3 linked regions of the Drosophila melanogaster genome follow. Changing the gene in region 1 together with any one later gene gives a genetic interaction. Each region holds a gene or a part of one and is shown in the gene's direction. Other genes may lie near its edges.

Evidence for each region. A genetic interaction does not mean that the proteins touch.
Region 2: of Brca2 (region 1) and aurA, changing one enhances a phenotype caused by changing the other (phenotypic enhancement), as found in Drosophila melanogaster (one study listed by BioGRID).
Region 3: of Brca2 (region 1) and spn-A, changing one suppresses a phenotype caused by changing the other (phenotypic suppression), as found in Drosophila melanogaster (one study listed by BioGRID).

Annotation. Positions count from the first base shown.
Region 1 is NT_033778.4:24,523,387-24,530,977, forward strand, and holds Brca2 (BRCA2, DNA repair associated), read left to right. Parts: upstream 1-2,785; 5' UTR 2,786-2,914; coding exon 2,915-3,659; intron 3,660-3,719; coding exon 3,720-3,791; intron 3,792-3,850; coding exon 3,851-5,949; 3' UTR 5,950-6,167; downstream 6,168-7,591. Other genes in the region: CG4612 (uncharacterized protein), read right to left, coding at 932-1,156, 1,388-2,086. UniProt on the Drosophila melanogaster protein: Involved in and required for double-strand break repair by meiotic and mitotic homologous recombination. During meiosis, has a dual role in the repair of meiotic double-stranded breaks and the efficient activation of the meiotic recombination checkpoint.
Region 2 is NT_033777.3:11,960,889-11,966,280, forward strand, and holds aurA (aurora A), read left to right. Parts: upstream 1-2,235; 5' UTR 2,236-2,403; coding exon 2,404-2,517; intron 2,518-2,581; coding exon 2,582-2,882; intron 2,883-2,944; coding exon 2,945-3,765; 3' UTR 3,766-3,938; downstream 3,939-5,392. Other genes in the region: CG3281 (uncharacterized protein), read right to left, coding at 155-1,615, 1,669-1,824; CG12213 (uncharacterized protein), read right to left, coding at 4,537-4,598, 4,657-5,392.
Region 3 is NT_033777.3:30,053,242-30,058,620, reverse strand, and holds spn-A (spindle A), read left to right. Parts: upstream 1-2,583; 5' UTR 2,584-2,681; coding exon 2,682-2,759; exon of another isoform or gene 2,760-2,822; coding exon 2,823-3,755; 3' UTR 3,756-3,925; downstream 3,926-5,379. Other genes in the region: CG7950 (uncharacterized protein), read right to left, coding at 686-1,162; Rpp14a (ribonuclease P/MRP subunit p14 a), read right to left, coding at 1,178-1,481, 1,587-1,618; Rpp14b (ribonuclease P/MRP subunit p14 b), read right to left, coding at 2,066-2,372, 2,454-2,485; Jasper (JIL-1 anchoring and stabilizing protein), read right to left, coding at 4,316-5,077, 5,157-5,379. UniProt on the Drosophila melanogaster protein: Plays an important role in homologous strand exchange, a key step in DNA repair through homologous recombination (HR). Binds to single and double-stranded DNA and exhibits DNA-dependent ATPase activity. Underwinds duplex DNA.

The DNA of each region.
Region 1 (7,591 bases):
GCGCTGGGCCCCTGCTAATTCCATATCGGATCTCTCCTCTCCAGCTCTGACCTATTCCTCGTCCGCATCGGCGTCTACTCTATAAATTACGTGTAGGGTTCGCTTTCGCAATGGTTGCACTTGATTTCCTCGTCAAAAGTTTAGTTATAGCGTAGGGAGTTGTGAGTATTATAAACGCTTTCTAACTACAGCGTGTGGAGTTACATTAGATATATGTATATGTTATGTATATACGTGGAGTGGGTGCTTCACTTGTTAATAGGGGTTACATCAATTGTATTTTTTCCGTTTTTCCATTTTGTTTTTTGTTCTTTTTTTGTTTGTTTTCGTTTTGCTTTGTTTCTTGGTTTAGTTTGGTTTTAATACATATATATTAGGTAAGTGTAAATATTCATATGTTGCCCAGGACTGAGCTGGGCGTAGCTCTAGTTGCGATCGCACGATCTAGACTTAATGCCAAGGGGCCAGTGTGAAAGTTGGCCTTGTGTGGGTAAATACATTTCGAAATACGTGTGTGTACGCAATGTGTTCTTTAGGCGAGAAGCTGACAGCAAAGCCCCTGCTCACTAAATTCAACAGTAAAGACAAACATCTAATTCCAAAAAAACGCTAGTGAGTGCTAAGAAATTGTTGTCCTAATGCCTAGAAAATCCTTTCGGTTGAGAGCTCGTTTTCTGCCTCTCCCTCCCTTTGTTTCTGCCCTGTGTTCTTTCTATAAATTTCAACTGTGTTGCAAGACTTTTGCCTACATCTAAGTGTATATGCGAAGGAGCTGCCTCCCGTCCGTCTGCTGCCTGAATGTCCGCCTAGCTGCTCGATACAATTTCTCGTAAATATCTATATAGGTTTATATATGGGTGTGTATTGTATGTGTGTGGGTTCCAAGTCAACTCCTAGCGATGTCCTTGGATCAGCTGCCGCCGCCGAAGCCTTAGTAGTAGAATATCTGGCCGGCCTTCTGCCGCTTGCGCTCCTCCAGCTTGCGATTGATCTCCTGCTGCCGCTCGGCCTTGCTGAGGGCTCTTGCCACGTACAAGAACTTGTTGTCGCCCAGCTGCTTGCCGTGCAGGCCAATTACGGCGGCCAGCGCCGACTGTGGGTTCTCGTAGGCGACGAAACCGAAACGCCGGGAGCGCCCCTCCTCGTCCAGCATGAGCTGCAAGGATCGGAGAAAGCAAATCGATGATATAAACAAATTAGCACAGATGGGCCAGGTGGAGTCCTCATCTTCCCCGCCGTCACAAACTCCTCGTGGCTACATGGGCATGCGCAGCAATGGCGCAAGAGAGGACTTAAGAGAGTGCAAAACTGTGCCACATGGTTGTCGTCCAACCACCCGGCCCCACGAACATCCCCGTAGGGAAGATGAGGTGACCAAACAACGTACCTTGTGACTGGTGATGCGGCCGTAGGGCTCGAACATCTCGCGCAAATGCTGCTCGGTGAACTCCTCGCTGAGGTTCTTCACATACAGATTCTTGAAGTGCGTGGCCTTCTCCTGCTCCCGGTCCCGCCGTGGTATGAACTTGACCACATGCACCTTCTGATTATTGCACAGCATCCCATTCACCTTCTCGATGGCCGCTCGGGCGGCCTCCTCCGAATCGAAATGCACAAACCCATAGCCGCGTGAATTGCCATCCTCGTCTTTGGCCACATTGCAGTTTAGGATGTTTCCGAACACCGAGAACGTGTCGTACACCGCCTTGTTGTCGATGGACCGCTCCAGGTTCTTGATATAGATCTTGCCACTGTCCGGAGAGCTGTTGCCTCCGCTGCCCCCAGTGGAGCCGCTAGCCAGAGCTCCCCCGCCGACTCCCACGCCCACATTGGCCGAGTGCGAGGACGTGGACGTGTGCCCGCTGCCCAGGGAGTTGTGGCCATGCCGTCCGAGAACAGCGGCGGCCGCCAGGTGGTTACTGGCTGCGTGCCCACCGCCGACGTGGCTCAGGTGACCAGCTGCAGCGGCGTGGTGGTGCAGCTGCTGCTGGTGGTGCGCCGCTGCCAGCGTGTGGTGGTTCAGGGCCGGCTGCTGCTGGTGGTAGTTCGCCGGATTGCCGCGGAACGTCATGGAGTTGACGAACATAATGGCTGCTGGCTGTTTGTGGAGCGTGGTGGCGGCTAGTGGAGTGCTGTAGGTGCTGTAGGTGGATTCTGCGTCCTGGTGGCCGTGGCTCTGGATCTGGATACCGCTGTAGATGGGCCCGAGAATCTTGACGGCGTTCTTGTCCTGGTCCTAGTATTTCACTTCACTTCCCGATTTACCTGGGATGTCGGGAATCTGCGTTATGGCCAATCTAGTCGTAATCCAGCGGAATGCCCACTTACCAGGATTTGCACACGGAATATGACCAAGGATTCGCGGAGTTGAAAAAATCGTTTTTCTCTCGCACAGACTCTTTTCAACGCTCTTCGCTCTCTCTTTCTTTACCTCTCTGGCTCTTCCTTTCGCTCTTTTGTACTTTACTTTTTCTGGGGGCTTTCACTTTTGGGCTGATTCTTTGGGGCTCTGCTGGGCTTTCGCGTAACACTTTCCGGTATTGTTTTCGAGTGGCACCTAAACTAGACTCTTCAGCAATTGCAGCAGTGTAAAACCTGGTTTTTGCAGCTTCGGCGATGGCCCTTTATTATTTAATTGTATTTTATGCAAAAACTGTCGCTACTAGTGATTAGTGATGTTAAAAAACATCGATGCATCTGCCATCGATACGTGAGGCCTTCATGTTCTTGGCCATACCATCGATGACTTTCTCGCTCCCGATTGCTTAGCAAGTCCACCCTCCACAGTTAGCGGATAATGGCCATCAAAGCAACGCTTACCAACACTGCACCCCTTGTTTTGGAAATGCAACCACAAAAGCATTGGACACTTGCTTACTTCAAATAAAACACATTTAAACAATTAGATGACGTGATGGACCAGAATGGCGCATCGGGAAGTCATCCGAACAGGCTATCCCAAGGAAGAGGAGCCCATGCGCGCGAACGTGGCGCCACAGTTTCCGCGGCGGCAAATCGGAGTAACATTATCGACGAAATGGCCAAAATATGCGAAGCCGATCGCCAGACTTTCGCCATCGCTCGACGGACTCGGGGTCACGAGCGGCTTGCGGTGGACAACAGCGACTTCGTCGCCGTGGAGGATCTTATTTTGTCCTACGCAGAGCCCACGCCCGAGGACCAGGTCGAGATGATCATGAGCGACTTTTGCTCGTCTCCAACATACGCAGAGGATGAGGATGAGCCCAGCCATGAGTCGGAGCCGTGGTTTCGATTTCGCAACAAAAGGATCAGAACCTACAGCCGGAAGAGGGATCCCAAAAGCCACAAGGCCGTTCAAAACGAGAAGCGTAGAGGTTCCTCAGGCCTCTCCGTGCAGAGGGATCTCAATACTTCGTTCACATCTATGGCTTGTGATTTCGATGCTTCATCACAGAAGATACACGAGGTCCTTTTGAACCTCAGTCAATACTTTTCCGCGACCGCGACAGCTTCCGGTCCGACTCCTGTCCCATCGCAAATAGATCTGCCAACCGAAGCAAGGCAGGATTCTGGTGACGAGTGTTTCAACGCTGAATTGGAGAACTTGAGGGATGACCTGTTGCAGAGCGGATTTACATTTGAGGCCTCTTTCTATGAAAATGAGCATGAGCAGGAAGGTAGGGAGTGGGATCGATATGGCAAGAAACACATTTGTAACTCCTTTTATATGTACGTAGGTCCAGGAACTATGGCAGACACTATTTATGGCGATAGCATGCAATCGGTTCCCACTACGCGCCTCCGATTGGGTAATTCATATGCAATTTATGTTGTTGCGAAGTTCATTAATATAAACCCTTATTTATAGAAAGTGGAAAACGTAATGTTTGGTCTGATGCAGACTCTACATTGAAAAAAGCTGATGTCGAAATTGCTGAAAATAAGAAACTTTTGATGGGCCAAACGCAAGCAAAAAATGTTGACATAGAGGAGAACACAAACTTCATATTAGAAGGCATACCACTAAGTGAATGGCTAACTCCGATGGAACTGCCCGAGATCTCCAAAGATGTAATCAAACATATACCCGATAAAAAGTTAAAGTTGGAGCCAAGTTCCCAGAAAGAACAAAAAAGTAGCAAAGATTCAAATGCATCAAAGGTTAGAGGAGCCTCAAAACAATCTTGTGATATTAACACGAAAAACGAAGGAACTACTATTCTGGATCAGCCTAATGCTGCAGAGCAAGAAAACCTATTGAACGACGGCGAGCTTCTTGAGGAGTTTCTTTTTAATGATTGGCAACCAATGCAGTGCTCTAATGGCCCATCAACCTCCAAAAACGCAATTCAAGGGCCTAAAGAAAACATCAATTCAATAAATCTGGACGACAAGGAGCAACCAGAAAAGCAGACTCCTAATAAAAGTCAGACCATAAGCAGTCATCAACTTAATGGCATTCGAAAGAAGTCCTTCAAATTTATCGAGGTTTCGGAAGAAATGAAAATTAAAGGCGAAGAGTTTGTAGACAAAGTTGTATCCGGCCTATATCACTTTAGTCACAAGTGCAACTTACGTACTGAGGAATACTCCGATAATCATAGTCAAGTAATGGAATCAACACAGTGTGCGGAATTCAAATCAGCCCCAAGCAAGCCCATCGAAATATTGGATGGTAAGGAAACCTACAATGCAATAGCTAAAGTTGACGTTGGAGAAATAAATGGAAAATTCAGTCCTCTCAATAACGATACTATAGCAGAGCCCGAGTTTTGTGGCTTTCGCACAGCCTCAAATAAGGCAATTCCGATTTCTGAGAAGATGAAAATCAAAACTGCAGAGTTTATGGCTGAGTTTCAATCCAAAGAAACAATTCAACAAAATGATTATTTAGTCCATCAGCCAAATGACAAACCGACGTCTGTTGGACTTGATACAGCCTTAAAAAGATCAATAGAGAGTTCAGAGGAAATGCGATCGAAAGCTTCCAAGTTGGTGGTCGTTGATACTACAATGCGGGAACCGCATCAACCCACACTTGACCCAGTTTGCCGTGACTTAAATGAATCACAGTTTTTCGGCTTTAGAACAGCGTCAAACAAAGCCATTGAGATTACCGAGGCGATGGAGAAGAGAGGAGCCATGTTTCTGGCCCAGTCTAAAGCTACAGACCAATTAAACGGGTGGCAGCCAAGCGATTTTCCTGATGTTCTACCCACCTCTCCAAACAATGAGATTCATTCAATAAATGTTGAAAATAATAAGGCTGTGAATACTAAAACCGTATCTGAGACCGAATTCTTCGGCTTTCGTACCGCTTCAAATAAAGGAATTGTGATTTCGGAAAATACGAAAATCAAAGTTGCACAGTTCATGAGTGAATTTCAAGCCGCCGATGCAAGCACTGACTCGAACCAACCAACTGTGATCTCTGAGGAATCGAGAAATATTGATGCCAAGTTCGTAGATGAAGCGGCGGCAGAAGACAGTGCCAACAAGCCAACTTTTTGCAATGTACAAAGTCTAAAAAATACCTCAGATATTGAGCATTTCAAACACGACTTCTTCGTGGAGCATTCTGCAAAGGAAGAGCATCCGCTGTGTAGCCAGCCATTGGTGAGGACACCCAGAAGGTCGCAGGAGATCCACTCCTCACTATCGCAACTTGCCGGCAAATCACCACTGGACCAGGCCACCAAGAAGTCCGTAATAGCTCGCCGGAACCTCCTGTCACTAAAAAGAAAGCGAAAGATCATTTTGTCAACTGAAACTTCCACTTCCTGCGCCTTACCCACTATGGAGCGATTCGCTCCCAAGCCTTCCTCGACAAGTACTCCGCTGGCCGACAGGGACTTAAATCGCTCCAAGGACTGTACAAAGAATAGACAGGATGCGGAGGACATGTCCCCTATTTGCATGCAACCCAAAAAGAGTCGAAGACTTGGTCTGAGTCGAAGTCGCTATTAGTACACATTAAGTAAGCGTTGCTTTATACCCAAAATATTTAAACCGCTGGCCGATTTGAAATGGGTAGAGATTTAGTTGAATTAATTAAGGTATGCCATTAGTGGTCTCATCATGACAGATTGAATAATTGTATAAGTTATCATAATAAGCGTTTTTTGTTAAGTGCACCTTATAAGGAAATAAACGATCCGATAAGGGCCACCCGCTAACCAACTTCCTTAAAGGTGCCCACTTACGAGTTCCGCGAAAAAAACGAGAAGAGACGAAATCAGTCCCACAGTTCACAAAACAAATGCGAAAAAGTAGTAGTCCAGGTCGAATGCCTTAGCCGGCGGCTCATCATCGCGCATCAAGGTATAGATTCCCTGATGGATGAGCTCCCGGAAAGTGTCCGCCTTCATTTTGATGCTGATCCCGTGCTCCTGCAGGCGCCTCATGAACTCACTGGTCATCGCCAAGTACGGCAGACTGTTGGACACGCAGTAGGATTCGAGGGTAAAACCCACGGCCTGGCGAATCATGTTGAAGCGCGGCGTCTTCAGCAGGTACTGCTGCATCAGGATCAGCTCCAGGCGGTCCTCGTACAATATGTATATGTAGCTCTGATTGAGCCCATCCCGGTACGCCTTTAGCAGGGTGGCGTTCAAGCTCAAGCTGTTCCTGCGGAGCCGTTCGGGCAGGAAGGTTTTCGCCTTCATCTGACTTCTGTAGTACTCGTCGTGCAGACTGGGGTAGGGAGCCCTGGCCAGATCCTCCAGAGTGTTGTACTCCTCGTCGTACAGCCCGGATGTGAGGATGCTGGAGAGCGTGGCCAAGTAGACGTTGGTCAGTATAAAGCCTCCGATCGTTAGAATGCCATGGATGGCCACGTCCCTCCAGCCAGCAACTCTGATTTTCTGGTGGCAGTTGTATAGGATGTGGCTGAGGCTGTACAGCAAGCACTTTCCAATCTCGACTCGTGCTCCTCGCGCAGCCAGATGCAGCATTACGGTTCCGTACAAGACAGTCGAAATCACGACCGCCCAAAGGGTCCAGCCGAAGGGCTTGGAGTAGTACAGATAACTGGAAATCGGACGGGCGTGGGGAGCCATGAAGTACTCGCGGATAATCGAAAGTGGTGCTGTGTAGGCCACTTCCAAGCTGAAATCTTTGAAGTAGCAAACAATGTCGATCTTTTTTGTATGTAGCATTTCAGCAACGGCCAAGTATACATCATATTCCGGCAGATCGGGTATGGGTACACTCTCGATGGTGGCGTTATAGCGATAAGTCAGCTCCTTGACCGCTGTGAACAAATATCCTGCTCGCACCAAGCCACCCTGTTCGTTGGAGTACTCAAAGTCCCGAGGAGCTAATGTGCTTCGAAGTATGCGGACAGGAAAGCCTTGAAAGTTTCGAATTATCCTTGCGCGATCGAAATACTCGGACACATTTGATAGGCTGATCGGTTGAATGCTAGGATACGGTAGGTAGCTGTAGAGGCCCTTTCCGCTCATCAGAATTACATTTACGAATCCCTCCTTGAAGCAGTAGGTGTAGAGGTCCTGTTTCGGAAATCCTGGTTCCTCATTGCTCAGGAACACTATGTGCAGCTCATGGAGCTCGTCCAACAAGCGTGGCAGAAGACTGGCAACCAGTGGAT
Region 2 (5,392 bases), on another chromosome or scaffold:
AGAAAAAATAAATTATTTATTTGAAATTTAAAGTCAACTTGTCATTTAATGTTTTGTAGACTTTTGAAAGTCTTACGATACAATTAGTATCTAATATACATGGGTTCATTCTACATTCTATATTAGTGATGATTTCTTTAGCTAGTAATACATTTTAATTATATTCGGCTTTGATGATTTTCTGATTTTTTCCGAACGGATTTTCGTAGACCCTTTCGATCTCATAATGGCTCATTTTATTGCGATGGACGGTCAGGAGAGCTCCACTTTTGAATTTCTGTTCGCAGACACCGCATTTGTAGCACATAGCCGGGACATCCGGTTTGGGGAGATTTTCCAGTCTCTGTTGCAATTGGTTTTCGGGAATGCGTTGCAGGCGCATACGCTCTATATCCTCCGAACGGCGCTGGTTGACCCTAGCATTTACATAAGGATCAGCAGCAAAATTTGCCTCTACTTCATTGCCCGGAATCACAGCAATCAGATGTCCCTTTCGGTTACGATGGATATTCAGGTGCGAACCGCACACAAAGCTCTCGCCGCACACTCCACACTGATATGGTCGCTCGCCCGTGTGGCGCCGCATATGGATCTTAAGGTCGTTGGACTGCACAAAGCTCTTGCTGCACATTTTGCAGGAGTACGGCCTTTGACCCGTGTGCAATCGCATGTGTCGCGCCAGCTTGTTCTGCGAAATAAACTTCTTGGAGCAGATCTTGCACTCACTGGGACGCTCGCCGGTGTGCTGACGCATGTGAAGACTAAGATCTTGGCTGCGCGGAAAGGCCTTCTCGCATTGATCGCACTTGTACGGATTATCGCCCGTATGTCGCCGAATGTGGATGGTAAGGCTAGATACGGGAAAGCTCAGGCCACAGTGCGGACAGTCTCGCCGCTTAGCTATGCGTTTTCGGGCGGAATTGTCCGTCGTTTCTTCGGGTTCCAATGCGATTGCGTCGGGATGGAATGCCTGCATGTGTCGCCGGAGTGTGTCCTGACGCTTGAATGTCCGCGGACAGTGCTCACAGGTTAGCAGACCGGTGCCGCAGCTCTCGTTGGCCAGCTTCATGGCGGCCACGTCCGCTGTCAGTTTGTGGGCTTGGGAAAAATGACGAGTCAGAGATTCACTTTTGGCAAAGACACGCGGACAGACGGCGCACTTGTAGATGAAGTTCGCCGAATGGTTCAAACGACTGCCCAGCTGGGAAGGTCGCGACAATTCTCTGTTTTCTATTTCATCTGGCCGAGGCTTCAGCTGAAAGGAGTCTTCAGGCTCATCATCACGATCCTCGCTCGCATAGAGTGGCTCTTCGCCCACATCTGAAGTAAAAGCTGAACAGTCTTGGTCTCCATACTTCTCCTCCATTTCCACGTGCTGTTCGGCAAAAGACGTGGACAGGTATTGTGCCATACTGACCACATCGTCTTGGTCTATAAGCTCCACGACATCCACATGAACTTCATCCGGCTTGGCAGCAACTTCCTGTTGCTCGAAGAGATTCTGTAAAGTTTCATGGGCGTTTTCCACTTCGACGATGAACTCATAGGCGCCGATCAGCCGGCGGGCGCAATTTTGACACAGATGCATAGGCAGATTTGGGTCCGTCCATGTCCACTGGAAATAATTGAACTTATTTTTCGAAGTTTCTTGAAATTGTAGCTCTTTACCTTCAATTTGGAAACTGCCTCCAACAACTGCCAGAGCTCCAACTTAAGGTCGTTGTATTTGATTTCATCGTGGACATACAGATTGGTCTCGTGCGTCTCCAGGCAGACGCGGCAAGTCTGCGAGCTTATATTTACGTGGATCTCCGGTGTGTCCATGATTCGGCATCATATCATAAACGACGAATTCCAATAAAAACTTTGCTTGTTAATAACACCTGATGTTCAGAGATGCCCGATAAAATCACAGCTGTTCTGGTTCACAGTCACCAGAAATAAAAAATATTGGAATTGAGATGTACACAATTAACGATATTTATAAATATCTTCCGATAGTCTATCGTCCGGTTAATCAAAATAAAGTGCGACGAATTAACATATTTTCAAAATTAAGACGCTTTGATAGATGTATTTGTATAGAGATAGAAATTAAGGTTAAAATAACATAAATGCCAAAGTTTAGAGCACTATTCAATAATTCTCTTGATTTCAAATTGAAATAATACACAATATAACATTTTCTAACACTACAAAGTCACGATATTCTTCAACCAACCGATAGTATCGCACACTTGCCATTCGCCTCATCACGCACACGCCCGCTTCACAATTCAAACGAACGGCATTTTATTTTCACAGGATCCCGGGAGTCGTGAATGTTTTACCCAATATCGGCTTTCATTGTTAACTGACCAAAATTGTAATCTGTTCTGTTAGTTGTCGAGTGCCTGTGCCGTCATGTCCCATCCGTCTGACCATGTGCTGCGTCCCAAGGAAAATGCTCCGCACAGAATGCCAGAAAAATCAGCTGCAGTGCACAATATGCAAAAGAACTTGCTATTGGGAAAGAAGGTACGTTAAGTGGTAAATCTCTGGAGTGCAGCTGAAACTCTTATTTGGTACCATTGTGATACAGCCCAACAGCGAGAATATGGCTCCAGCTAGCAAACCCTTGCCAGGATCCTCTGGCGCTTTGATCAGGAAGCCAGGCCTAGGAGGCTCCAATTCCATAGCTTCCTCCGAAGGAAACAACTTCCAAAAACCCATGGTGCCGTCCGTGAAGAAGACCACATCAGAGTTTGCTGCTCCGGCTCCAGTAGCACCTATCAAGAAGCCTGAGTCACTTTCCAAGCAGAAACCCACTGCTGCGAGCTCTGAATCCTCCAAGGAACTGGGTGCGGCCAGCAGCTCCGCTGAAAAAGAGAAAACCAAGACTGGTGGGTTAATGGTTCAGCTGTAATCTTTTGCAATTACCAAACTCAATTGTAATTTTCTGCAGAAACCCAGCCCCAGAAGCCGAAGAAGACCTGGGAGCTCAACAACTTTGATATTGGTCGCCTGCTGGGACGGGGCAAGTTTGGCAACGTTTATTTGGCGCGGGAAAAGGAATCCCAGTTCGTGGTGGCCCTAAAAGTGCTCTTTAAGCGCCAGATTGGCGAGTCCAATGTGGAGCACCAGGTGCGTCGTGAGATCGAGATACAATCGCACCTACGTCATCCGCATATCCTGCGTCTGTATGCCTACTTTCACGACGACGTGCGCATATATCTGATCTTGGAGTATGCGCCACAAGGAACGCTTTTCAACGCCTTGCAGGCACAGCCGATGAAACGTTTCGATGAACGCCAGTCGGCCACCTATATTCAGGCGTTGTGCTCGGCGCTGCTCTATCTGCATGAGCGGGACATCATACACAGGGACATCAAGCCGGAGAACTTGCTGCTCGGGCACAAGGGCGTCCTGAAGATCGCCGACTTCGGTTGGTCCGTGCACGAGCCGAACTCCATGCGCATGACACTGTGCGGCACTGTCGACTACTTGCCACCCGAAATGGTTCAGGGCAAGCCGCACACGAAAAACGTGGATCTATGGAGCCTGGGTGTGCTCTGCTTTGAGCTGCTAGTGGGCCACGCTCCCTTCTACTCGAAGAACTATGACGAGACCTACAAGAAGATTCTCAAGGTGGACTACAAACTGCCGGAGCACATTTCCAAGGCAGCATCCCATCTCATTTCCAAGCTGCTGGTCCTTAATCCGCAGCACCGCCTACCGCTGGATCAGGTGATGGTGCATCCTTGGATCCTGGCGCACACGCAGTGAACACATTCTTGTTTAATTTTCAGTTAATTCCTTTTAATTACATTTTTAGTTTAGGGCTCCCCGCGTAATTTAATTATGGCATCATAAATTTTCATTTATATAGATACGAGAAATTAACATTTATCAATTAAGTTTATTATTATCATTAGCAATAAAGTTTGTGTGTGTTTTCGAATGCTAGCGTACACTCCTATCTTATGTAGCTACCTAATCTCTAGCGAAATGGGTTGACGGAATTGCAAATGCAGAAGTGAAACGTGTAGGCAGCGACAAAAAAAACAGGCAACATTGCCCAAATGCAGCGCAGCGTTTATTTTTATCACAGAAAACCAAGTATATAGAGTATATTTGTTAATGAAACTTGTAAGGATTTAGCAACGATTTCGATTACTGCTAATTCGGGACTAATAATTTGCAAGGCAGAACTGAAACAGTCTTCATTTTAAATCTGTCTGCATTTGTTCGTAGCTCCATCTCAGAGTATTGTATTTCCTGCGAGTTTTAATTTCTTGTTCTTCATTTGCTATTAACGAAATGATGGTAGTCATGACGTTGAACTTAACTTACAAACTAAATAGCTTAGGGCGTGCTCAAGCCAGGATAGATTTTGATTTATAATCTTCAATTAACGTACAAATTTCAATGATCGATTTGCGACATTTCGTTATGATTAACCCTAGAATCTATGGCTTACCGAGCACGGCTTTAATATAAAGGGGTTTCTAAGCCTTTGCACACTTGCCGCTCAATATTAATAGAAAATTATCTTACTTAGTGTCTAATAACCTCGCCTCCCTTCTTGCGTGCTGCACCACCATTGGAATAGTCGTCCTCTGCAATTTAAGTTAAAGTGTTAAGCATTTATTCCGATTTGTGAGCACTTCCACTCACCATCTTGATCTTCATCCATGCCGTCTTCCAGGTGGATGCCTTCGGCGAACTCCTTACCCTGGTCAGCAACGATTTCGTTGTTTAGATTGTCTGTATCGAGCAAATGCTGTGGCTGTTTCACGGCCACATCACCCACATCGTCGTCGTCATCTCCGTCGCCACCTCCTCCGGCACCGGCTGCCTCGGCCATCTGTTTGGCCGTTTCATCGGGAACGGGTCCGGGACCAGGTGCCGGCAATTCGCCATCGAAGAAATTCTGGCCGCCACCAGCGGCGGGCAAATTAAAGCTAGGCTCGTTTAACGCATCCTTAACTTCGTGAGCGCCCGAATCCTCGATGGGTTTGGGAGCTACGCCTACATTTTTGTTGCCCTCCATATCATTTACTGCGTTGGCGTAACGATTGTTGTTCTCGTTCTTCGGCAGGTCTTCGGCGGCGTTGTCTACATCGACAGCGTCGCCCTTAGTATCCGCTTTGTCTTCAAAGTTCTCGGGAATGGGAGCCACGTTTTCGGGAAGTTTGCGCTCAGTCTTCGCTGGTGGCACTGCAAGCGGGGGAAGGCCGCTGCTACTAACTTTTGGGGCTACAGATGCGTTGGGGGCATCACCGGCTTTCTTGTCCGAAGCGCTGCCCACTGAGGCTTGGGTGCTGCTCTTGCGGGGTGCACTTAACGGGGAAACAGGACCGCCGGATAGTTGCGGCTCCTCCTGCTGTTGCTTCTCACTGACCGATTTGGG
Region 3 (5,379 bases), on another chromosome or scaffold:
TATCTGATTTTTGAGCCACAAAAAACAAAACACAAGGTTATATTATTATTTCACTGCTGTTGCTGTTGTTGTCGTTGTTATTGTGGTTGTAGTCTCAACTGGCCAATTGCACTTTGCTTTTTTCGATAATTCGGATATTTTTGTTATTGCACCTTGAAGTTCTGCACCGACTTGATGTTGAATTCGCGTTTAAGCATCTCACAAACGCGATTTATCCGCAATATATGCATTTTACACTGCGCCTACAGCATTTTTCCTTTCCACACGAAATCTTAATACGCTTTTATTTTTCCGTTTTCTTTGATTGCTGCTTCGTAAACAGTGTGGCAGCAGGGTGGAAAAATACTGCCAACGAGGTGGGAGCGCTTCGAGTATATACCAGAAATACACAACATATGGAAATAACGGCCTATTGGCTACAGTGAATACAAGATACATTTACATTTTTTTATTTGTGTATTTCGCTATTTGTAAAAAAAGCGAGAATTTAATTGAGAAAACGAGTATCTTTTATTTCTGAAATAAGCACTATGCTGTTTCAACAATATCTCTGTTAATTCCAGACTATCTGGCTGATAAATGTTTCCCAGTCACGATCGATAGTGTGGGGATGGATTGAAGTTAATGACAAGTTTTATTTATTTTGTACGAAGTCACACCTAGCTCTTATCTTATGTACTCCCACCTAAGCCTTGGGCACCACTGAACTGCTATTGGGGGACACCAGCTCATCGCCGCCTCCGTTGTTGCCCACATCCGCCAGCGGATCCGCGTTCTGGCCACCAACTGAACCGGCATCCGTGTCCAAGGCCTCGCTCAAGCCATCATCGTCGTCGTCATCACCGCCAGATTTGTTGTACACGGTGGGGTACTTCTGGAAACAGTCGCGCATCTTGGTGAAGGCATCGTAGCAGTCCGATCCCTTGGGATCGGCGGTGCTGTTCTGGAAGCAGGAAAATGCCTCACGGAAATCGACGCCACAGGGACCGGTGGCCATGCCGCCGAGGCAGGGACAACTCCAGTTGATCTTGCCGTCCTTGGTGATCACGCCCTCCGGCTTTTCCGGCGGCGGCAGCTCGATGGTGCTGGGCGTGGCATGGTCCTCCTTGGTCACAAAAATCACCTTGTCCTTGCCGTACTCCTTGCAGTAAGAGAATGACATCCTGATGCGGTAATGCTAGTTAAATGCTACAAACTCCTCGGGGGATTCCTCAAAATCCAAGGGCTTTCGGGATGTGCTGAGCACCTGAAAATGGCAGGGCACCTCCTGGTAGTATCCTATTAGGGCTATAGCTACGCGAACGCGATCCAGGACGTTCTCGGGCACCCGGAGAATGGAGCGTTTTTGGCTGGAACTAAATTTCACAATTTCCAGTATGGTCTGGCCACCTATTTCGCCAAAAATACTAGCCAAGGAGCTATGGATGCAGCCACAGAAGAATACGGGCGTCAGAGTCACGGAGTCTGGATCACGGAGTTTTCTGGCGATTAAAAACGTGAATTATCTTAATTATATTTGCATGATGCACGTGCGCACGTGGGAAATACGGGGCTTTAAGGAGCGGGGCTGAGTGCCCGGAACTCACATCTTCACGTCCAGATATTGGTAACCACTCATGCTTTGGGTGCAAGTGCCAGTGCCCCTCTTTTTTTGGCGGAATCTTCGGGAAAAGTCGTCCAAAAGTTGCCGGTCAGTGTGTTTTTTTTATGTAATTACTCCCCTTTTTTGCTGTTTCTTTCTGCTTCTCAAACAGCTGTGCGCCGCCAGAGATGCCAGCTCGGCTCACAACGGACATGAGTAGTTATAAAATAGCTAAAATTATAGCCATTTATTAAAACATTTAAATTGTTATTGGAACTACTTAAATGCAATTTTATTAAAATGGTTACAAGTTTATGGGGTTTTTCCGCTTTTTAATCTCATTTAGTAGCCATCACAGAAATCATTTCAGTTCGTTGTGAATGACAAAAAAATCAGATCACAGTAAAATCAGTTAGGATTCAAATTCAAATTCTTCATGACGGTTATAATGTATATTACACTGAGTATTACAATTCGCTAGTCCTAATCATCGGACACAACCGCGACAGTCTTTTCAATGCTCTTCTCAAAGTCCAGCGATGATTTGGATGTTTCCAAGATCTCAAAATGACAGGGTATCTGCTGGTAGTGACCGATGAGCTCAATGGATATGCGGGTCATGTCGTGCAGTTGCTCTGGCACTCGAAAGATAACACGATGTTGCTGGGCGCAGAACTTCACGATCTCCAGTGTGGGTTTCTCCTCGCAGAAGAAACTGTCCAGGGCGTCAAGAACGCAGCTTCGAAACAGAGATGGGGTCAAAGCAACTGCAGTCGGATCCCGAAGTTTACTATTAAATAAATGAATATATTTACTGAATTTAATAACAACCAAGTTTATATTAATGACCGCAGAACATCATTCTACTCACAGTTTGATGTCGAAATAGTAATAGTTCGCCATGGTGATCTTGCGCGTTCCTTTTAAGCGGGATCCTCTGTAGTGATAGAGTTTTGTGCGTTCGGGGCGATTGGCAAACTGATTTTGCAGTGAATTGCGCGCCGCGCAGTCTTTGTCGAAATTCTCTCACGCAAGACGTGCAATTTAAATAACGAAACTCGAAACAACAAATAGTCAAATTTAACTTCGAAACTGTCAAATGGAGAAGCTAACGAATGTTCAGGCACAGCAGGAAGAGGAGGAGGAAGAAGGTCCACTCAGCGTGACTAAGTTAATAGTGAGTAGGCTGCGATCTCGACCAGGATTATTATGGGCATTCCCTACGATATCCTCCTCCTAGGGCGGCAGCATCACGGCCAAGGACATCAAGCTGCTCCAGCAGGCCAGTCTGCACACCGTGGAGTCGGTGGCCAATGCCACCAAGAAGCAACTGATGGCCATTCCCGGCTTGGGCGGCGGCAAGGTGGAGCAGATCATCACGGAGGCTAACAAACTGGTGCCTCTGGGCTTCCTTAGTGCTCGCACCTTCTATCAAATGCGTGCCGATGTCGTGCAGCTGAGCACGGGCTCCAAGGAGCTGGATAAACTGCTGGGCGGCGGCATTGAGACGGGATCCATTACCGAGATCTTTGGCGAGTTCCGCTGCGGAAAGACCCAATTGTGCCACACTCTGGCAGTAACCTGCCAGCTGCCCATCAGCCAGAAGGGCGGCGAGGGCAAGTGCATGTACATCGACACGGAGAACACCTTCCGTCCGGAGCGTTTGGCTGCCATCGCGCAAAGGTACAAACTGAATGAATCCGAGGTGCTGGACAATGTGGCCTTCACCCGTGCCCACAACTCAGATCAGCAGACCAAGCTCATCCAGATGGCGGCGGGCATGCTCTTTGAGTCCAGATACGCTTTGCTGATTGTGGACAGTGCCATGGCGCTCTACAGATCCGATTATATTGGTCGCGGGGAGCTGGCCGCCAGGCAAAACCATTTGGGCTTATTTCTGCGCATGCTTCAACGCCTGGCCGATGAGTTCGGAGTGGCTGTGGTAATTACTAACCAGGTTACTGCCTCGCTGGACGGCGCACCCGGCATGTTTGATGCCAAGAAGCCCATTGGCGGGCACATCATGGCCCACTCCTCAACCACGCGGCTGTATCTGCGCAAGGGTAAAGGCGAAACCCGCATCTGCAAGATCTACGACTCGCCCTGTTTGCCGGAATCGGAGGCCATGTTCGCCATTCTGCCGGATGGAATAGGAGACGCCAGGGAGAGCTAATTGTGCTCACTTATAGGTTAATTAATGCTAGGAATAGAGCTCCCTAACTTTCTAATGATTACTTATCCCTAGACTAAGAATTAAACTTCGTAGATTGTTTTTTTTTTTGTTTTAATGTTTACTTAGAATGTTTAGGATAACGACGAAATAAAACAGCCGTTGCGAATTGTATGTACCATCTATATTTAATTCAATATTATTCAAATCATCTACAAACTTAGAAAATATTTAGGGGTTTCGAAGCAAAAACCTTTTTTTTAGTCTGGTAATAAGCGGATGCAGCAGGAAAAGCCCCATCAGCGCAGCGTAACACGACATGCACCTGGCAGGCAAACAGAATTAAGGAATTTAGCTGAATTTTTAACCTAGAATTAAGCATAGCCCACTTGGCTCATCAAAACTTTGTCATCCAAAGCACGGTCTTTAAGTTGCCTGGTTTGTAACGCTTACGAGTAACTGCAAGAAAGAGGATTCTTGAAGATGTGTTTCAACTCAGCGGTTTGCGGTTTCCCATCCTACCTTATCATGTAATTGGTCCAGCAGAACTGGTCCTCGATCATTTACTGTGGAGCCGATCCGGCTGAAGCGGCGGCCTCCTTGGCCAAAACCAGGCTATTATATCCGCGCTCGTTCATCCCGACGCGAAGGTTTTCGTTGATATTTTTCGTATAGGTCTTGTAGATTTTTACCTTTTCGCAGAAGTCGATCCAAAAGTTGTCCTCGCTCTCGGGCTCCGGATTGAAGAGACTCTTGAAGCCATCGTATATGCCAGAGGAGACCTTGCGTATGGTCTGCGCCCTCTCCTTGAACTCCACCTCGTCGGACAGGTCCATTTTCCAGAGCTCCAGATTGCCCACATACCGGCGAAGTCGGCGCATTATGTCCACGCACTCCGGATTGCGCAGCAGCATCAACTTGGTGAACTCCACCTCCTTGAACTGCTCGAGGATCTCCAGGCATTTGCCCACATTGGCGCGCCGCAGGCCCAAACATTCGCGCAGCTGCTGGGAAAGTTGGATGAAGTCTCGCTCCATGAAGAGGGCATCCTCGTGCTCAATGAGCTCCTCGATGAATCGCAAAGCCTCCTGCTTGGGTATTTCGCTGCGTGTTGGCTCCACCACGATCCTATCGGGCATGGACTCCGGATTGATTTGGCCGCTCTCTAGTTTCAGTTTGAGCTCCAAGGCTTCTTTGCGGGCGTTCTCCATCCAGGCTTCCTCGGCAGCGGCGCTTTCGAAACTCTCCGGCTTTTTGTAGTTTATAACGATTCCCAAACACTTGGCTGTGGGCATGTACACCATGAGCATCTCGTTCCGGATGTTCTGTTTGGGCAAAAATGGAAATCAATGTATCGTAATTCATACTAGTTTATGTCTGGTGGTATTTCTGCATCGCACTTACATTGACTGGCCGCGACCGCTTCTGAATCGGAGTTACTGCAGCCGTGGGCTTGGATTTCTTCACTGATTTCTTGCTGGAGGTGGGGGTCGCCGCAGCCGGAGCAGCGGGGATGGCTGCGGCGGTAGCCAGACCCTCGGTGGGAACCCTTCGCTTGGCCGGCGGAGGTGCTAGTTCCGCGCCTGCTTCACTATCCCCGTCCACATGGCGCGGTGGTGCCTTGGTC